Arabidopsis thaliana: one gene and its partner. The protein of the gene in region 1 interacts with the protein of each later gene in a pairwise test. Each region holds a gene or a part of one and is shown in the gene's direction. Other genes may lie near its edges. The genes, in order: RABA1d and AT5G55950.

Region 1 (4,509 bases):
TACAGATGCACCACCTTTTAATGCAAGCAGTATCATTTCACTACAGGTTTGTTTTCCTTTTTGTGTTAACCCTCTTAAAATTCCCATTCTAAATGTTTGATTAATAAGTTGGCTATTTTTCAGCTTATGTTTAGCAAATTTGAGTATGATGGTAAGCTTAACCCTACATTCAAAGAAGGACCTTTCGAGCTTCCTTTATCTAGCATTCGAGCTTATATCCAAGACCCCGTCACTCCAAGGTCTGATCTAGTTTCTTGCTTTTTAGAAACCAAACTCTTCACTAAATGCTGAACTAGCATTTCGTTACTTATCGTTACAGGTTTGTTCACGTTGGCTCTGCGGGAGTTACTCGACCAGAGAGACCCGGTTTGGATCTAAGCAAACAACCTCCGGCCGTGAGATTAAACAAAGAGCTTGATTTCATTCTCACTTACAAGTTAAAGGTTTGTCTCTCTATACTCTCTGCTTCGCAGAAAATTGGAAAAGTCATTTTCAAAAGATTTTAAAGCTCTTACTTTTGAATGACTAGGGAGAGGATCTGATACGCGACAGCGGGATTCCATTTGCAATTGTACGGCCATGTGCTTTAACAGAAGAGCCTGCCGGAGCTGATCTCATTTTCGAACAAGGAGACAACATTACGGTATTTTCAATTTCGCTTCTCCTTGAAATCCAACAACTCTTTAAGTTAACTAACCTAACCAACTTTACCTTTATATAGGGGAAGGTATCAAGAGACGAAGTAGCGCGTATATGCATCGCTGCTTTAGAAAGCCCGTATGCTCTTAACAAGACCTTCGAGGTTTTTAAAGAATCATCAATTTTTCGATTTTTCCGGGTTGCTATTCAAAAAGTTAAATTTCTGAATTGGGCTGTTTTGTGTGTTGTTTGTTTGTTTCAGGTTAAAAGTACGGTTCCGTTTAGCGAGCCTTTCACGGTAGATCCTGAGAATCCTCCACCGGAGAAAGACTACAATGAGTATTTCAAGACTCTGAAAGATGGAATCACCGGTAAAGAAGCTTTAGAACAGAGCACTGTTGCAGTTTAAACCAGGTTTTATCTACTTTTGTAACTGTGTGTTGTCTCATCTTCGTTAAAAATCTTTCCAAAAGTAAAAACAACAACAAAAGAGTCGTGTAGAAACATGTTTGTATACTCCATATATCGTACATTGTAGATAAGATTTACAAAAGCTTATTGACGACAACAATAAAGATTGTACCTTTTGATCCGTGGAGGTTCTTCAACAAGATTCTGAAATTTCTCTGCCATTTCTCTGTCTGTGAGAATTTTGCCTTGTGGTGTAAGAAAAGCAGTCCGTTGAAACGGTGGAGACCAGATACCGCTTGTCTGGTAATCAAACTGAAACTCAGACACGTCAATGTACTTCTGAAGAAGTTTGTCTGAAACTGGTTTTGTAACATTCTGAGTTAAAACAGAGGAAGAAGATGAAGATGTAGGTGGAGTTTCAGACATTTTTTAAAGAAAAGAAAAAGTAAAGAATCTAAATTTTGATAGGAGGGTTTCATGAGGAAAAGGGTTGATGGAGACTTTTATGGTAATGACAAAATAATGGATTTTTTGGCTAATAATGGAGGATGAGTGGAGAGGAGCACAGAACATTTGTCTATGTTCCTTTTTCACTCTTTTTTTTGTTTCTTTTCTTAATGTACAGATGCGTTTTTGGATTACATATTACATAATACACAAATCATTGAACTCTTTTCACATGGCAGCAGATATGTGAGTTTTTGCTAACCTCAAAGAATTTAGACAATACACACAACTACTATGTGATTAGCCCATATGGGCTTCCATTTTAGTGTGTGTTGAAACCCATTGGGTATATACAGAATCCACTAACTAGAAGATAGAGCTAGAAATGTTTCATTTTTGTTAGATCATCATTGAGAGTGACTGAAATATCGCCGTTTACCAATGTAACATGACCACCACCACTACTTTTTGACCTTTTCAAGAAAATGAAAGCATGTAACATATACATACAAAAGTTTAACGAAATGTCGGATCTACCCCTGATCTTAGGGAGTGAATCCGGGGTAGTTTAGTACATGTATACAAAATATTTCACCCAGAATCTATCGGTGATCATGGTCCAGCTAGAAAGACACCAGTCTTACCCTAACTTTTTTCAAAGTCTGTGTCTTTCTGTAGAAATCTGAGGAATAAATATTTGAATCTAAAGAGAATAAAGAAGAAAGTAAAAAAGCAAAATCGAAGTTTTGTTCAATTTTCTGGGATCATAGAGCAATTTTCGTTTCTTTATTCGTTGAAAGTGTGAAGCTTTTTTGATTCAGTGAGAAGTGTTAATGGCGGGTTACAGAGCAGATGATGATTACGATTACCTATTCAAGGTGGTTCTGATCGGTGATTCAGGTGTTGGAAAGTCCAATTTGCTTTCTCGATTCACCAGGAACGAGTTTAGTCTCGAGTCTAAATCAACGATCGGGGTCGAGTTCGCGACTCGTAGCTTGAATGTTAATGAAAAAGTCATCAAAGCCCAGATTTGGGACACTGCTGGTCAAGAAAGGTTTAAGCTCCGTCTCTTTGATTTTGTCTTCATTTGTTCATTTCTCGATCTGTGTTTTAGGTATTGGCCTTCTGATGCATTGTGGAGTCAATACAATTTCATTAGATCTGTCTTAGTTAATGGAATCAGTTTATCGTAGAGAAAGCTTGAGAAATCAACCTAACCTGTGATCGTGTATATAATTACTGGAGGTGAAGTGTACATTGTATTTGTGTATAATGAGAGAACTCAACAATTATGCTTAAAGTTACCAGCTTTGTAGAAATTCTGTTGTTTTGCTGATTAGTTTGATCAACCAGTGGTTGATGATAATCTTCGGTATCGTATATGTTCATGGTGTTTCTATATGTTCGTTAATTCTGATGACGATATCGATTTCTTTAATGATCGTTTTCTACCATTGAAGCTGAAGAGCTTATTGCTTTGAAGTCTTTCTTGTCATTTCGGTTCTTATTATGTTCCTATCTTTCTAATTTAACAGAGTTTCAATGACTAAGTCGTTAACGGGTTTTTGTTTCTCCTCTTTTCGCTATTTTTAGATACCGAGCAATCACTAGTGCTTACTATCGAGGAGCTGTTGGGGCGCTTCTTGTTTACGACGTAACCCGACACTCAACATTCGAAAACGTTGAGAGATGGCTAAGGGAACTCCGTGACCACACTGACCCAAACATAGTTGTGATGCTTGTGGGAAACAAATCCGATCTTCGCCATCTTGTAGCAGTCCAAACCGAAGATGCAAAATCTTTTGCAGAGAATGAATCACTCTACTTCATGGAAACCTCAGCTCTTGAATCTACCAATGTTGAGAACGCGTTTTCTGAAGTACTCACTCAGATTTACCATGTTGTGAGCAAGAAAGCAATGGAGGCTGGTGAAGATTCCGGTAATGTTCCTTCGAAAGGAGAGAAGATCGATGTTGATGTTTCCGCAGTGAAGAAAACTGGTTGCTGCTCCAACTAAATGGTCTTATGTCCTAAAGCTGAAATCGGTTTTTAAATTTTACATTCAAATTTTGTTTTTGAAGATGTTTGCTTTTTTTTAGGAAAACAAACTATGTTATGCCTTTTGATTTGCTTGTTTGAAAATTGCTTAGCTTTGGTCTGATTCTGTACCGGTTAAGGGATTTTGTAATTTAACCGGTTCTGGTCTATGGTTTGTTTTTAATTCAATCCGCAAATATCTCTAAACCAATATTTATTGTGCTAATCCTTGAACACAACTAATTTTTGTTATACCAATTTAGAAAATTTTCGTCAAAAAAATAGAGATCACAATTCAGTTTCTAATAATAGAAACTTTTAATAACAGTTCATTTTTAGAATTTGCTTTTGTTTTCTCATTTGACTATTCTTGACTTTAATTTTAATTTTATCAAAATAATCCATGTAATCTTTTAAAATTTTCTTAAAACAAATCACGTCGTCAGTAACGCCGAAAGAATATTCCGTTACTAAGATGACGGGATCCACCGTTTCCCGCCAAGAAAACAGCCCTAAGAGACCAAACGACAGTAACGGCGAATTCAAACGTCTATTAGTTCCCGAAACCTCTCAGCCAGAGGAGGACGAGCTTCACGAATCGCCACCGGAGAATCAGATCCTGAACGTAGAAGAAGACAGAGACAAAACCTACGATTCAGTTCCGCCATTCTCATGGGCAAAGCTATGGAAATTCACCGGACCTGGATTTCTCATGAGCATCGCGTTTCTAGATCCAGGAAATATCGAAGGAGATTTACAAGCCGGAGCTGTGGCTGGTTACTCTCTCCTATGGCTTCTTCTATGGGCGACGCTAATGGGACTTCTGATGCAGCTTCTCTCTGCTCGTATCGGTGTCGCCACGGGTCGACATTTAGCGGAGATTTGTCGAAGTGAGTATCCTTCGTGGGCGCGAATCTTGCTTTGGTTCATGGCGGAGGTTGCTTTGATCGGAGCTGATATTCAAGAAGTCATCGG
Region 2 (4,746 bases), on another chromosome or scaffold:
TGTAAGATCGACAGATTTATTTCTTCTATTCCAAAACAAGCACTCGATTAATATTTACTTACACGTGATTACCATTTTCTTACTATTTTATTTTATGGCACGAAGTTCCATTTCTTGATTATAAATTTTTAATATTACCGTACCAGAACGTTGACCCAAGTTTTCTATCAGGAAATTTGTTAGGAAATGACAAATTAGTGCTTGATATCATGCATGAATCATGATCAAAAGTTGGCCCCATGTTTTTAAAAACATGGGCTAAAATTTTGGGAAAAAATTAACGAAAAAAAGATTGATGAAATAATTCTGTCAAGTACATAATAAATTCATAATACGAGAATTACGTGAATAACCTAAATTTTGTATCAACATTATTAAAAAAAATAGTGTAGAGTTTCATAAATTAATAAAATAATTTAAATTCAAACTCTAATTAAATCTAACCTCTAGACTTTAAAATCTTAACTATAAATCCGTAATGCATGGAAACATTAATTCTTCTGTAAAACAATAAACAAAACAAAATGGTCAATTGTTTAGAAAGTTCAGTATTTTAGTTAGATGAAAAAGATTTACAATAATAATTGTGTGATTTATTGAGTAATGATCGGGTTTATTCACCAGCCATCAGGCGGCTGATCGGGCCAGTTAACTAACATAAGGTCTGAATAAAAATGGGCCGAATCAATAAGGCTCGTCAATCTCAGTCTTGTGCTACATGTATTTTCACTTCTTCCACTTCCAAGTTCAAACAAATTTCGCCAAAATGGGATTACCTTTATGAACCAAAAGACGACCAGGGGACCTGACTTTATCGGTGTTAATGTTTCAATCATACTAAAATCGACAGAAATTAAAGTAGTGGATCCACAAATCTTACATTTTTATTAGAATAAGAAGTTTACTTATACAAAGAGATGATGACGTGGCCATGCAAGCTTTTTGTTTTATTACGTAGGCCCTCGGCTCCAAAAGTTTGTTGAGACTTCGAAATCTTGGAATTAAAGCTTCTCGTTTTCGAGGTCAAGCGTACATGTTAAGTCATTTTTATTCGTAAAGTGATAATAAGCTTTTTAAGTATCATCAACTTTCATCACTTATACATAAAATTCATTTAATTTACTCTTTATACGTATGACACTTAACCAAAGCTTTTGCTATTTAATCATTTGGCTAACTAACACTTCTTTCTTTCTTTCTTTTGGTAGGTTGCGGAACTAATTAACGCTACTCTTTCAAAGTTAATTTTTTTTACTGATAGTGTTATGTTTCCACAACAGTATGTTGCGTGAGGTGACGTCTATATGCTTATGACTATAAGCTAGCAGCTTAAACTATGTACAAAAATGTACAATGTCATTATTGTGATCACAAAATTGGTAGTTAGTTAATGTCATATATATATATATATATATATGTGTGTGTTTTAATTTTGTTAGGTACAGAGGCACTCTTGTAAATAAAAACTACCACTAAAATCTGAATGTTTTGTGCATTAAAAAAGAAAGAAAGATAAAACCTCGTACCGATCTGAATAATTTTTTATCAATGAAGTCACAATTTTGTACGTTGATGAAGTCAACACGTGGCAAATTACAAACTCGACAATTTCCTCAAGAGAAACAAAAAAAATCCCTGAAAAATTCCTCAAAATTTTCTTAATTTTCGAGATAAATTGATTTAAAATAAAATAAAACAGAAAGATACGCAATGAAACTGCGTTTTCAAGCAAACTGCTAAATTTCTATCTTTTTTTCTCTCTCTCTCTCTCTCTATAAGGGCTCTGCTTCTTGTACAACAGCCGAAACAATTATACCATGACATTAAAATCCAGATTTTTTTCAGTCATTTTCGTATTATTTGTTTAAAAGTAAAGTTTTTCTTCCATCAAAATGGAAAATGTGATCTGGTTTTTTTCTTAGAAGATATTAAAACAATCGGAGAGAGGATTGCAAATTTTTTATTTTTGTTAATTTGCTGTGTGATGGGTCTGGTTGATTCTTTGTTAGGAAAAGATGCAAGAAAATTTCTCAAAAGGAAAGATAGTGATGCTGCAGAAGCAGGTACGTCATTATTATAACAACAATTCATGAATCTGCCTCCATATTCTTCATTTGATTTGCCTCATCATAATTCAGATTTCTCATGATCAAAAATGATGCTTTATTTATTCCCACGTTGTCTCTGTTCTTCACCGTTTAAGTTAAATGGTTTTGATCGGATCTTTAATGGTTTTGATCGGACCTTTAGGCTTTTTTGATCTGTTTGTGAATTTGTAGGACGAGCTTTGGAAGAACTCAGAAGTTCTTTGTACAATGAGCTTAAAACATCAGAAGGAGCTAAAAGGCAACAACAGAGATTTTGTGGCCCTGTTGTTGCAATGTCCTTTAATTTCGTTGTTGCTGTTGGAATCATCCTTGCCAATAAATTAGTAATTTGGTTTCTTCAATCTCAAATTCTTCTTTCTCTTTTTTTTATTTACCATGTGAATGTAATTGTAAGGTTGAATTGTGCAGGTGATGGGAAGAGTTGGATTCAATTTCCCAATCTTTCTAACATTGATTCATTATACCGTGGCTTGGATTCTTTTAGCTTTCTTCAAGTCTCTCTCTTTGCTTCCAATGTCTCCTCCATCAAAGACAACACCTTTCTCATCTCTTTTCTCTCTTGGAGCTGTCATGGCCTTTGCTTCTGGACTCGCTAATACCAGTCTCAAACACAATAGGTTCATAGCTCAATCGCTAAAGTTTGAATCAAGATTCATAGCTTAAGCTTGAAAGCTTTTGTTCTTCTTTGTTTCCAGCGTTGGATTCTATCAAATGGCTAAGATCGCAGTTACACCAACGATTGTTCTTGCCGAGTTTGTTCTCTTCAAGAAAACCATTTCTTCCACAAAGGTTTCGCTTATATCTTTTATGACATGTCAACAAAACAATCAAGAATTCATTACATGTTTTTGGTGCTTACTCTGTTTTTGCAATTTGTCCTCTTACAGGTCATGGCATTAGCTGTAGTATCTCTAGGTGTGGCAATCGCGACAGTGACGGATCTAGAATTTAATTTGTTTGGTGCATTAGTTGCTGTTGCTTGGATTATTCCAAGTGCCATTAACAAAATACTCTGGTCTAATCTTCAGCAACAAGCTAATTGGACTGCCCTAGCGTAAGAAATAAGAATCTCTCTCTTTTACTTTTACTTGAGGTGTAAGCAATACAAGTCTCTTAAAATAAAGGCTTTATTGAATGTAGATTGATGTGGAAGACAACACCGTTTACTGTCTTCTTCTTGTTGGCTCTCATGCCATGGCTTGACCCACCTGGAGTTTTGCTTTTCAAATGGGATTTAACTAACTCTTCCGCAATCCTCATCTCGGCTCTTCTCGGCTTTCTTCTCCAATGGTCTGGTGCACTCGCTCTCGGGTTAGTCTTTTTGTTCTCTTGCTTTGGTTGGAAGTTCAGTCTTGAGGTTATAAAATGCTAACTAAATTTGTTGTTTCTTACAGGGCAACATCAGCAACATCTCATGTAGTATTAGGGCAATTCAAGACATGTGTGATCTTGCTTGGAGGTTACGTTATCTTCGGCTCTGACCCTGGTTTCATCAGCATCTGCGGCGCTATCGCAGCTCTTGGAGGCATGTCTGTCTACACGTGGCTCAATCTTCCGGGGAAATCCATCGATCACATGTCAAACAAGCAGCTGCCAAAGCAAAACGTCACCGTTTCAAAACCTAAAGCCGAGGCTGACGACGGAGGAGGAGAGACCGGAGTAACCGTAGTTTCTGTTGACCCACTTCTCTCCAAGACGATAACTGCAAATATCGTATAGTTTTACAATTTGATTAGATTGCCAAAGAGAAAAAAAATGAGTTTTACTTTTTCTTCTTCAGGTTTTAGTTTGTAAAATTGGTTCAGTTTTGATATCAAATTAGTGTAGTAAAGTATACTAATAAAAATATTTTGATATCATAATGTGACAAGAGGGCTTGGTGGGTTTATTTGTACGATAATGAAATAGATGGTGTAGTTTAGAAGTAATGTAAAACTTGATGTGTATTTTTTTTTTTGTCGTCACTTGATGTGTATTATGAGGTGCAATTAGTAAATATAATAAACCTTTTTGACTTTTTCTATAATTTCAAAAACTTTAATGTAGTAAAGTGAAAACTTGTGGGGAATAGGGTTTTCGGTGATAAAATCGGGCTGACCCGAACCCGGTTTAGTGCGAGATTCCACTGTCCGTCGTTAACAAAGGAGCTAAATCTCAGAACGATTTCTCGATTTGCTTTTGCGACATTATAATTTTCCTTTCAATTGACTCAGTGAGTCGCCGATCGAGTTAGAAATGGGAATGGGAAGTAACGGAGAATTGAAGTATGAGATCTCCCAGAACGCGTACATCAAACTCGTTCTTCACTCGCTGCGACACAAGACGGCGGCGGTCAACGGAGTCCTCGTCGGTAGAATCAGCCCTAAGGACGACGGAGTTGTAGAGATCTCAGATTCTGTGCCGCTCTTTCACTCTAACCTCGCTCTCCTTCCTCCTCTCGAGATCTCCCTCATCATGGTTCGTATCTCTTCTTATTCGAATCGATTTGATTTTACGAGCTTTGAAATTGAATTTTGAAAGAGATTATGATCTGATTGCATTGGTATGTATATTGAATTACGAATTCTGGAAATTTTTAGTTCGTGTACTAAGCTTGAGCTGCATATGTTATTATTAGCTTGTTCTTAGTTTTCTATAT

The links.
Region 2: the proteins of RABA1d (region 1) and AT5G55950 interact in a protein complementation assay, tested with the Arabidopsis thaliana proteins (one large-scale study listed by BioGRID).

What each region holds. Positions count from the first base shown.
Region 1 is NC_003075.7:10,319,161-10,323,669, reverse strand, and holds RABA1d (RAB GTPase homolog A1D), read left to right. Parts: upstream 1-2,096; 5' UTR 2,097-2,330; coding exon 2,331-2,551; intron 2,552-3,090; coding exon 3,091-3,514; 3' UTR 3,515-3,808; downstream 3,809-4,509. Other genes in the region: AT4G18810 (NAD(P)-binding Rossmann-fold superfamily protein), read left to right, coding at 1-46, 124-239, 320-443, 530-643, 722-802, 902-1,042, 1,309-1,407; NRAMP5 (NRAMP metal ion transporter family protein), read left to right, coding at 4,010-4,509.
Region 2 is NC_003076.8:22,657,492-22,662,237, reverse strand, and holds AT5G55950 (Nucleotide/sugar transporter family protein), read left to right. Parts: upstream 1-1,732; 5' UTR 1,733-1,984; coding exon 1,985-2,063; intron 2,064-2,211; exon of another isoform or gene 2,212-2,279; coding exon 2,280-2,431; exon of another isoform or gene 2,432-2,516; coding exon 2,517-2,725; intron 2,726-2,803; coding exon 2,804-2,897; intron 2,898-2,995; coding exon 2,996-3,162; intron 3,163-3,248; coding exon 3,249-3,419; coding exon of another isoform or gene 3,420-3,480; exon of another isoform or gene 3,481-3,502; coding exon 3,503-3,827; 3' UTR 3,828-4,126; downstream 4,127-4,746. Other genes in the region: emb2731 (Uncharacterized protein family (UPF0172)), read left to right, coding at 4,344-4,565.